Linked DNA regions of Caenorhabditis elegans. The protein of the gene in region 1 purifies or fractionates together with the protein of each later gene. This does not show direct contact. Each region holds a gene or a part of one and is shown in the gene's direction. Other genes may lie near its edges. The genes, in order: vhp-1 and pmk-3.

Evidence for each region.
Region 2: the proteins of vhp-1 (region 1) and pmk-3 purify together in Caenorhabditis elegans (affinity purification with western blotting, with the first as the bait; one study listed by BioGRID). This does not show direct contact.

What each region holds. Positions count from the first base shown.
Region 1 is NC_003280.10:5,321,411-5,326,518, forward strand, and holds the start of vhp-1 (protein-tyrosine-phosphatase), read left to right. Parts: upstream 1-1,865; coding exon 1,866-1,874; intron 1,875-5,108. UniProt on the Caenorhabditis elegans protein: Acts preferentially on the c-Jun N-terminal kinase (JNK) and p38 MAPKs. Plays an important role in the heavy metal stress response and in axon regeneration by negatively regulating the kgb-1 (JNK-like) and the pmk-1 (p38-type) MAPK signaling pathways.
Region 2 is NC_003282.8:8,137,195-8,143,689, forward strand, and holds pmk-3 (Mitogen-activated protein kinase pmk-3), read left to right. Parts: upstream 1-2,024; 5' UTR 2,025-2,108; intron 2,109-3,051; coding exon 3,052-3,303; intron 3,304-3,786; coding exon 3,787-3,932; intron 3,933-3,982; coding exon 3,983-4,067; intron 4,068-4,365; coding exon 4,366-4,475; intron 4,476-4,520; coding exon 4,521-4,668; intron 4,669-4,841; coding exon 4,842-5,448; intron 5,449-5,529; coding exon 5,530-5,606; 3' UTR 5,607-5,957; downstream 5,958-6,495. Other genes in the region: islo-1 (Interactor with SLO-1), read left to right, coding at 167-371, 578-893, 1,248-1,378, 1,430-1,730; Mitogen-activated protein kinase pmk-2, read left to right, coding at 6,317-6,421. UniProt on the Caenorhabditis elegans protein: Responds to activation by environmental stress and pro-inflammatory cytokines by phosphorylating downstream targets. Involved in axon regeneration after injury, probably downstream of dlk-1 and mkk-4 and upstream of mak-2. May phosphorylate mak-2.

The sequences.
Region 1 (5,108 bases):
ATTTATACTCCGAGTCAGTTGGACTCCGAGTCAGTTGTAGTTAATTTTTACAACGATTTTGATATTTTAAGAATATCTGAGAAAGTAAACCTAGTTTATTTAGATTTAAATGTTTAGTGTAAATGTTTTCTGCCAATTCTGAATCATCGGAGCGATCTAAACAGGATTCTAGAATTCCAATGTTTTCGAAACTTTTAGTTTTAATATAAATCTATTTCTGTTCAAACTTCTCTTTCAAATCTTCGTGTTTTCTACACCATTTCAAATTCATTCAAATTGTAATAGTGATTGTCTGATAGTGGGGGGATCATTCCATTTTCCTCCAATCGTCACTTTTTGCTTGTGGTTTCGTTGATTTTTGATGGCATATGATAAGAGATTGTCTGTTTGACCACATGCATTGCGAAATCCACAGTGCTTTTGGGCTGATTTTTTACGACGGTGGTGGTGGTGAAAAGATCCTGGATGCAAACAGGCACAGAAATTTGTGAACAGAGAGAGAAAGAGTAAGAGACGGTCATACAACAAACTATACACAAAAATAGTGAGTGATCAGCCGGTTCGACGCGCACTCGTAAGAGGGTACCTATGAATTATAAAGAGAACTATGAAAGAGAGAGAGAGAGAGAGAGAGAGAGAGAGAGAGAGAGAGAGAGAGAGAGGGGGGGGGGGGGGTACAGAGAAAGGGAGACAAAAGAGACCGTAACGGCGCGGCCGGTTCTCCACACCAGCAGCAGCAATCTCTCCTGGCGCTCTCCACTGTTTTGGGTACTGTTTTGAGGTCGATTTGTCTACACCTCTTATTGGTCAATACTATATTTGTATCTCTACAACTCTGCGCCTCTCCTCTCTGGTGTCCCTATGACGCAGGCAATTGTGAAGAAGTGAGATGAACAACGACTTTCAAAATAACATACCCTTCATTTTTAATACACATTAATTATTGTGATCTCTAGATTTATTAGACCTATAGGCTTTTTTTGGCAAAATTTTAGAAATTTTCCTTGTTGGGATCTGAACAGTAACAAGGATCTTGTAAACCAGTTCTACCAGGGAATTAACTTAAAATTTATAATTACAATTTTGCATTCAGGCAAGTTCGGTTTTGTTAAAGTCACCAATCATGAATTGTATGAAAACTAGCTTATAAAAACTGCATAAGAACATTGCAATCGCGAAAAGCAAGGAATCTTAATCTTAAAAACCCTAGCTATTCAACTATCGCAAGCCTATTTTTTGGTATTGCTCCAAGAGCTTAGATCTAAGTTGTCAGAGGAGCACGAAGGTGCACGACTAATAGGGAGAATACAGTACTTTCCAAAAATGTCTGGATTTAATTTTTGAACCATCTTCTTTCCTTGTAATCTACTTATCTTGTTCTATAGATGTCCAATCCCAAAACTCTCTGGATCAATCTGTTTTCTTTTCGACCTGTTTTTCAATATTTCTTCTTCTAATGTCCTATTGTACATACAAAAACCAACAACGTCTTTTCTGTTGACAAGTGCACGTCATTGCCCCCTCTTCTATCTTTTTTTCAATTTTCTCTCCTACTTTTTTGTGTCGTTTCACTTTCCCATCGTTATATTCTTACAGGTTACCTCCCCCTAATTCAGAATGGACGTACCGTCTGGGTCTTTGCTCTAAAGAAGGAGATTAGTATCTCCTTTTTGGTTCTGTAATTGAAATACAGTTATTGACAAAAAAAAAGCGCCCCAAACGATCCTCAACACTTGGAATCAATTGCAACCTGTGACAAGTTGGATTAACGTCCGAAAATACTTTTTTTCTGAAAATTAAAACAACAAAAGTTCAAGCTGGAGTCGTCAAAGCTCACGGCCGATCAGTTGAGCAAAACTGAAAAAATGCTCAAGGTGAGCTTTATTATTTTATTATTTTGAAACGGTAAATTTATAAATTAGGAATTTACAAAGTGTTCTTAAAGATATTTTAACAGCTATTGTGATGAAGTTATTTTTTTAATTGATTTTAATTTTTAATCTAGCCACTATTTTTTAATTTCACCGATTGCACTCTTTTTGGGATCAATCAGCAAGAAACTTACATTGGATCTTCAAAATGGGTAAAAATGTGTAGTTTTTTGGCGATGAGGCTCCACAACTAGGAAAAATGTATAACTGTAAATGTCATTAATCTTCATATTTTCAATCTATTTTCTTCATTTTCCGAACTGTATTTATTTAATCTAACTAGTAAACTATATTTTGTTTTCGTATCAATGAATTTTTCCTTGTAACTACAATTTAGTTTTAAATTCCGTAAAGGTTACTGTATAAGGTTATGACCAGTTTTTGCTCTTATTCAAATGTCGTCAAGCGAAATGATAACGGAACACCTCATAAAAACAAATAATGACGTTTTTCTTGAAGACTCTATAAAAGTCAGTGCTCCAAAAAACACTGCACTCCTCTGATTCACTGTTTAAATGATTTTTGCAACTTTGCACATTGTACCCAGTAGGTACTTGATGAATAACCCCAAATGTAAACATGATTTTTCAATTGATTAAGACTTTTTAAGTGTATTCTATAAGTTATAATATCAGAGAACAGATGATCAATTCCATAGTGTCTCTTATCAGCTGCGTGTTTTCTGCCGAGCTCTGGAAAATGTCAGTGATAAGGGAGAAAGGTATGAGTCGCTGACCGGTGCAAACACATGAACTTCAAAATCATATTTTGATGTCATTTAAGGAATCTAATTATTATAAGGAAAAGTGTGAAAAATGAAAATGACTCAGAAGTTAGAAAGAGGTTCGAGATTATGAAAGCTTCATTACTACCAAAAACATTAGTATGATAATTTTTAAAAAATAATAAGCTAGAAAAACAACACCAATTATCTTTCAGAAATTCAATAATAGCCGTTTTGTACATTTTACACCCAATTTCCTAAAATTTCCGAAAAATTGCGAATTGGTAAAACTTTCAGAAAATTTTTGTATCATAATTTTGAAAATCAAACAAAAAATTGTTCTCGAGTTTCATGTTTTAATTGAGTTCTAAAAACTGATATCTGAACATTCTAGAAGCTGGAACCTGTAAAATTGCTCTATAGCTCTGGAAACGTTTTTTTTGCTGTTAATTTGGCCATCTACCAACTGAAAATTTTTTAAAGTTTAAAAACTATTGGAGTTTTTAATTTAATATGATATTTGATAATGTTGGACTATTATTTGAGTATTCACATATATTTTTTCACTGCCGATGTACCTTTAAATCAATTAATTTAATTTGTTCCCATTTTGAATCTTTGCTTTCCATTCTGTACCCTTTTCCCCAAAATATTTATGAAACAATTTGTTCTTTCCTTATCTTCATTTGTTTATGACCTATTTCAAAGTTCAAAGGTTCTGTAAACATCGGGAATTTGCAATTTTTCCTAAATATTGTGTTTTTCTACAACAAAAGTGACGTTACACACATCATTCATTACCCCTTTTTTGTAGAAAACAGGTTTTTAGTTCTCTTGCTAAATAGAAAGGAAACTATTTTTTCGAAAGAAACAATGACGTGATTGAAAGTCTTGCAAAAGTGTAATCTGAATTTTAAAAGTGGGTTTTTTATTTTGAAAAACTGTTTTCAAAAATATAAATATGGGAAATATGAAATCATAATATTATCGGATTTTTTTAAATTTTAAATATTATTTTCAAATTGTTTTTCAGAAATTATTTTTTCAAATTTGTTCCATTTATAATTCGAACGAACTTTTCAATTCACTCCCCAACAGAGATCCATCTGTCGACTTTTTAACTTGTTTTTCTCTTTTTTTGTCCAATGTTTTTACGAGTAAAAAACTGTAGATCAAAAAGGGTGAAATGTGAATGTTTATGAATGTGGAAAGTTATAAATAGTGAATACGAATGGAATTTTTGTGTGAGAGAGATGAAAAAAATTGTTGATTTTAGAGTGGAATCGAGCAAATATATACAATCAGTCGATGCTCTCTGTTGTCGATCCATGCGTTCTCATTTTTGCCATTTTTCCTTGTCGGTGGTTTTTATTTTAGAACAAAGCAACTCTTTTCCTGGCCAAAAATTGTTGACTTTAATTAATTTAAGGTTATCTAGGGGTGTAAAAACATTCTGAAGGTTTTTTAGGTTTTTTGTTGTAAAAACTTTTTTACCCAGCTCGATCAAATAATTTTCCGTTTAAAAAATTTAAGTAAATTTTTAAATATTTTATTTAGCTGAAACAGTGGTCTGAGAATTTTTCAGATCTACTTTGCCATGACTATCTGCTGCCAAAAGCAGGTAAGCTTTTTCTGCCTTCATGGAAGCTTGAAATGTTTATTAAAATTCAAACGCTGTTTAAATTTAAATTGTTTGAATATGAATGTTTCAAAATTCTCAGTTAAAAACCTTCTCCATTCTAATTTTTTGTTCCGAATAGCCTACCTGCAATATTTCGGTGTGTCAAACTTTTGTTAAGGCAGTAGAAATTAGTTTCCAATTCATACGTATACTATTTTAGCGCTTGAGTTTTTGGTTTTGGAAATGTTATGTATTATGATGTTTTGATGGCTTCTTAATTTTTAAAAAATTGAGAAAAATTAAGAGATGCTTGACAATTGTCAAATTGTAAATTCAAGAATCAAAAAAATTGCCGTATTTTCTCTCATTCACTAGGTTTTTTTCGACTAATTTTGTAGAAAATTCTTAATTCTCTAGAGCTATTTCATTATACATGTGTGGTCTAAAACTGTTTAGAATTTTCGAAATATCCAATTCGCCGAATGTTTCGAAAATTTCGCAATAAAAGGGCACTGACAGCTGGAGGGTCCAATTTCAATACAGATGGCCGAGGTCTTCAGAAGGAGAAAAAAGATTCAAGGAATGGATTAGTGTTCGTTCATAGTGTCTAGAGAAGCACACGACGAGAAGGAAAAACCACGTCACGTTCACCCATTTCTTCTCCCTGTTTTCTGTTTCCTCTTCACTTTGAACGCTTTGGTTTGTGTCACTAATTTTGCCAGCGTTCTCTGAATCTCTCGATCCATTTCTATATTTCGTAGTTTTGTTGTCCGTCTAGACGTCTGCGTATTCTGAGATTCAACGATGACGAAACTTTTTGGGAGCTCTGTGA
Region 2 (6,495 bases), on another chromosome or scaffold:
TATAACCATCAAAGCAATACTGAGAAGTAGTAATTTAAATTGACTTTATGGGTCTCACCACGATGTACTGAATGTAGCACAGAATATAGAGTTGTTGTATTAAATATAAGGGGTTTTCATGTCAATTTGATTCTAAAAACTCATAAATATTTTCGAAATATTAAAGACAAGCTTCACGTAACTGCAAAGGATAAGAAAGACGAAATGGTTCAAGCTGGTGCAAGTGAGATTGATCCTCAACAATGGACTGGAAATCAAAGAGTTCTTCATTTTGGACCAATGGCTCAACGTGATCCATATTTCTATTATTATCCAAAAGGATGGGATATATTGTATCCAGCAACATTTGGATTTTTTCCATATAGAACATCGTTAGTTTTTTGATAATTGAAACTGTAAGCTGGAAATATGAGGGTTGAATAGCTCAACTAAATAACTCGTAGATTATAATTTAATGGAGTATGTCCTAATACATCATATTCAACGCGAAAATTCAACAGAGACGCAGAAAATATACATCAAGTTACTTTATCAAAAATTTAAAAAAAAACCCTGAAAAAAGCATTATTTTTTAAAGAAAATTTCGTGGCTCGTCATCATTGATTTGTTGTACAGCATTCGGCGTTTTTCTCCTAATTGGAGGACTACTAATGTCACTTCTTGGATATAAATACCTTTATACTTCACCATTCTGGACTTGGCCATACGAACAAAGAATACGACCACCACCAATTCAAATTGCGGGTCCTATTTTATTTGGACTCGGATGTTCGTTTTTGATAATTTCATTAATCTACTTTTTATGCACAACAAAGCTCTGTGATCTCTCGTTACACCACACAAAGAAGCACAATGATCCTGCTAGGCTTACGACTATTACAACACATTATGTGGTAAGTCTTTTTGATTAATTGAAAATTCAAATTCAATTAGAAACCCACATGTCCTTGTAAAAGTTGCGACTACACCTTTGAAAATTTCATGAAAGTAATATAAACAATTAAAGCTAACAAATTAACGTCTAAACAAACTCAAAATGATCGTACCATAATTTAAAAAAAACTATTAAAACATTTTAGATTTCTGAAAATGGCATAGTTTTGGTAAATTGCCAAATTAACCGAAACAGCAATGTGTTTGAAACCTTACAAGGCTTAGATACAGTTCACTAGAACGAAGAATGTAGGTAATAATGCGTATCAATTCAAAATCAAAATGTACCCATTTTAGTTGTTACACGTTTACAGCCGCTACCTCCGATCTTTGAGAAAGATCCATATCAACCTCTACCTCCACCTGCGTACCCAGTTCTTGAGAATCGACACGCAATGTCTAATGTAGTTAAGCCACACGATGAAAAGAAACTGTATCCACCAGTGTAAGAACTTCATTCAAACCGGAACAAGATTCTGTAAATCTATAATTTCAGAATTCCTGGATGTTCCACACTTTCCCTTCATAGACGATCTCCGAATAACATTTTTGTAGCAAGTCCATATAATACCCTAAGAGCTACAAGCGTTGGAAGATATCAATCTGGATTCCTTGACACGAATTCAATAATGGAAAATCGGTTAGGATCAAGGCAGCCGTCAGTTGCAAGTAGAAGACAATCAAGTGAAGCTTCAAGTCAAAAAAGATCCAAATCAATGGGACCTTTACATCGAACTAACTCCAATCGAAGCAAAGGATCAGGAAGATCAAGAAGGAGAGAAAATAGTCAAATATAGACATTGTTTTATGATGTTAACCAGATTTATATTGTTTTTTTTTAATTTCAAAATTCTGTATCCACAAAGATCAACCGAAAAGGAGATGAATAATTTGTAGATATTTTAAAATATTTATCTACAATAATATTTTCCATCAACCAAATAAAAAATTCGACCTTCGCCCTTTGTATGTCTTCCTCTCGTTTCCCATTTTTCACTGCGTCTCAATCGCTGCTGACTCATATCTGATTGACCTCACTGTTTCTTCCAATTTCCTTGGTCACTGATAATTATACTTCCGTCTTTTTTCAGTTTTCTCCAGTATTTTTATCATAACATATACTCAAAATCAATCAATACAGGAACGTCTAGTCTACAACTTTATTATAATAACAGGTGAGATATTTTGTTTTTGGTAAACTTCATAATAGTGGAGCGCTGAACAAAAGACGAATTTTCTGATAATTTAAAATTGAAATGAAATATATTATTTACCCTTTATAATTAACTTTGTTTGAACCTAAATATTGCTCATATTCGAACAAACACTGTACACTTTTTTACGAAATTCAAAGAGACGCTACTCAGTAAATAAACAAGAAAATATAAAACAAACTGTAGTGCTCATCTCAATTTAACTGAGCTCACAAGTATTTCACCGATTTTATTAATTACAATTGATTGAGCACCCGAATCTTTTACATAATTTCATGGTAGTTTTGCACCTTTTTTGCATAATTCCTCTTATGGGTCTCGCCATCAGAAAAAGTTCTGAGAATTTTTTATGATCCCTCCATTCCACAATTAATGAAAAAATATTTTGAAAATTTCACAAAAATAGACAAAAACGAATAACATTTAAATCTGACTCTTTGAGACCCAATTCAAAAATATCCATGTGTCTTTAAGTACGCGTTACAAAAATTGCGAGAGAACAATTACTAACAGTTCAAATGTAAATAGATATTGTTAGTAATTGCCAAAACTATGGGAAATTCTTCTATTTAATCTTCATTGATTGAGTTGATTTTTTTGTTGATAAATTCAAAATTCCTAATATTTTCTAAAATATCGAATTTCCTAAAGTTATAGTGAATCCGAAAACCTCCAAAAGAAAACAAAGTAGTGACCATAAACAATAAAAAAATCATTGTTTCACAATTTTTACACTTCACTCCGCAAAAATATAGGTCGCTTGAGTGTTCGAGTTTACATGGCGTGTTTCGCAATAAAACTTTCATTTTGAAATCCCCGACACTCCTCTAATTTCCCCCGACAACGCTTTTCGTTATTGATTTTTTCACTTCAAGCCCTAACTTGAACCCATTTAAATTTACAGATGGCGTCAGTCCCATCGTCATCTAGTCTCCCAGTGTCGCATGTCCGTCGTCATGAAGACGTGTCAACACCAAGTGCACCACCAACCAAACGAAGTAATAATCAATCTCAACCTCCAGAAAGCTACGAACCCAACACCTGGTTGCAACAACAACGAGAGCAGGAACAACAGAAAAAGTTAGCTGCAGAGAATATTAAGAAGCAGAGTATCGAAGCAACGGGAAACAACGAGATGGTTGGGGAGGAGGAAGAGGTGAGGGAGAAAGATTTTAGATTTCGTAAGTTGACGAAAGTCAATCCGCGCGTTTTGTTGATATGCGGAGAATCATAAAAATGATAAAGGTAAAGCTTCAGTATGACTTTAATCTAAGAAATCGACCTTAATACTCTAAAAAGGATGGAAATAAAACATTCCATAATTAATTTTTTTATAATTGTCAAAGTTTCAAAACTAGCTTAATATTTGTAGAATTGACTAGAATTGACATTTTCAGAAGAATCTAACCCCGCGCACGCATAGCTCATTTTTTGAGAAGTTTTTTCTACAAAAATTGCAACACAAAATTATTGCGCCGTCTTATTTCCAAATGATAAAATTGGCACGTGTACTAGAGACCAAACCAAATAGGAAACTGGCTATGTAATGCCTCAGAAATTTAGCTTTACAGAAATAAACATTGTTGACAATATTGCAACCATAGGTATTCCAAAATCTTAATCATCATTATATTTTCAGGATATTCTCTCAAAACCATGTGGTCCACACAAACGACGATTCCAATTTGTGATGATCCGTAACATTACATTTGCAATTCCGGAAGGCTATGACGTCGAGCCAAACAGCATTGAGTATTTGGGTGGAGGCTCGTTTGGAAATGTTATGTATGTTTTTCAGTATTTGTGTGCTTTATTTGAATGATTATATTTTCCAGAAAAACAAGTGCAGTGTGCCGTGACGGGCTTCGTCGTTATGTTGCAATAAAGAAGATGCGAGAACCGTTCTTTGATCCACATCATGTAAGACAAAGATACATTTTTATTGAAGCTAGAGCATATTTTTTACAATTCAAATGAACTAATATCGTATTAAAAATTTTCGAACTTTTTCTATGTACAGTCAAGAAGTGGTGATTCAAAATTTTGGGGCAAAACCAGAATTTTAAAACTAATCTTGTTTTCTGTTTTCGTCTTTTTTTTTGTTGGAAAATTGCCAAAACTTTAGAAGAACATTTCAAAAAGCTGATATTTGGTTTTTATACCCATTTTTGAGAATATATTTGGTCGATCACATCCTTTGAACACCTTAAACTTCCAGGCTCGTCGCATCTTCCGTGAAACAAAACTTCTTCAATTAATGAGACATGACAATATCATCTGTGCTCTTGACATCTACACACCTGACGAGGAAAACGATTTTCGAGATGTGTAAGTAATTACAAAAAAGTTTTACAAACAATCTATAATTTTCAGATACGTTGTCACTGAATTTGCGGGTCGTAGTCTTTATCAGATCTTGAAGCAACAAAGAGATTATGGACGGCGCGTGCTGACCGACGAGCATATCAAATTCATCATTTATCAAATCATACGTGCACTTAAGTACATTCATTCTGCTAATGTAAGTCAATGGAGTTAGTGAACAGAACATTGCTCATTCTTTTTTTTTTAATAGAAATATCAGCATTTTAGATTAAATAAAATTTCATATAGGAGGATTAGGCACGATTAGGCCATAATTAGTCAAAAAGAACATGACTAAAACACGAAAATATATTTATTAAAATTTTTTAGATTATACATCGTGACTTGAAACCAGGAAATCTCGCGTTGACCGATGATTCTGACCTCATGATTCTCGATTTTGGACTTGCAAGATCCTTGGAAAAGAAAGATACTTCTCTAACACAATATGTACAAACAAGATGGTACCGTAGTCCAGAAGTCATTTATTGGAAGATTGATAGTTACACAAATCTGGCAGATATGTGGTCACTTGGATGTATTGCTGCAGAACTTTTAACTGGAGAACCACTGTTTCCGGGTGATGAGCCCAATGCTCAATATCAACGTATTACTCAATTATGTGGAAGTCCTGATGAAGAACTTTTGACAAAGATTGAAAATGATAACTCGTCTGCAATTAAAGCCGTAATTCAATCCTACACAACTCACAAACGTCGAAATTTCCGTGATGTATTTTCTGCTCATAATCCATCAGAAGACTTTATTGATCTACTTGAGAAGCTTTTAGTTTTGGATCCAGAGAAGAGGATTACGGTGGAAGAAGCTATTCAACATCCATATTTGGCAGAGTTTTCACTTCCAGAAGATGAACCAAGAGCTGATCATATATTTGACTTGGATGACTCTCAAGCTAGAACAAGATTCGAGTGGAGAGGTAAGGCTCAAAGATCACGTAATAGAATTCTGCACACCTGCAAATTTGAAAAACAACAAATGCAAAAATATTTTATTACAGATGCCGTCTGGAAGGAAATAATGAACTACAAAAGACTCAGCTCATCACCGTTAATCCCTGGAGAAGCAGATCGCTGATTTCATTCAATTATATTAATTGTATATAATTCCGGAAATGTATTACTTCTTTTCCCTCTCTCTTTCTCGTCTCTTTGTCGTTCAGTGATAGCAACACTTTACAGGTGATAATGATGTTTTCCATCTTCTCTTTCAAATTCTTTCAGAGTATTTATTTTCTTGCATTCTATAGCTTCTTCCTTTTATGTCTCTGTCTCCTTCTCTCTTTCTCTTTACTTCTCCATTTCTCTGAATCTCTTTGTCTCGTTTTTCTCTCATGCTTTTATCCCATCATATTTTTTTATATTCGTCATTCTTGTCATTGCACCCTTACACATACTAATTAGTTCAATAAACTTATTTTCTTTTGACAATTCGTTTTAAAAGCTTGAAGTGTTTTATAAAAAAGAGATTGGTTCTAATCCGTGTCACTCATATTTTACACGAGCTTATATGTTTAAAGTGAGATTATCTGAAAATTTCTGGAATTTTTTTAATATAAAAAGCATAGTTTGACTTGACAAAGTTAATCCTGAACTTCAGCTTAAAACGTTTATTCAATTAGCAGAAAAATTCAAACATTTAAAAAATGTGAAATAAGATTGAATTATTATTTTGGAATACCTATGTAGGCAATTGTCTGCCCTTTTTCGAAATATTAAAACTTTCGTGCAAAAATGTAAAAATTATATTTACAAATTCAATTCAAACTTTTTCTAGATGTCTTGTTGATGGGGATGTCGGCGACCATGGGCGATTCAGCCAGCATTCCCGGTGTCTTTTTTGCCGATTTTGGTCCTGCCCCGCCTGAGATTACTCCAGAAGGATATCATGAGGTATAGTTACAGAAGAAGATTTTTTATAGTGTAGTGAATATTGTCTAAATATACTAGAATGAGCTAAAAGAAAT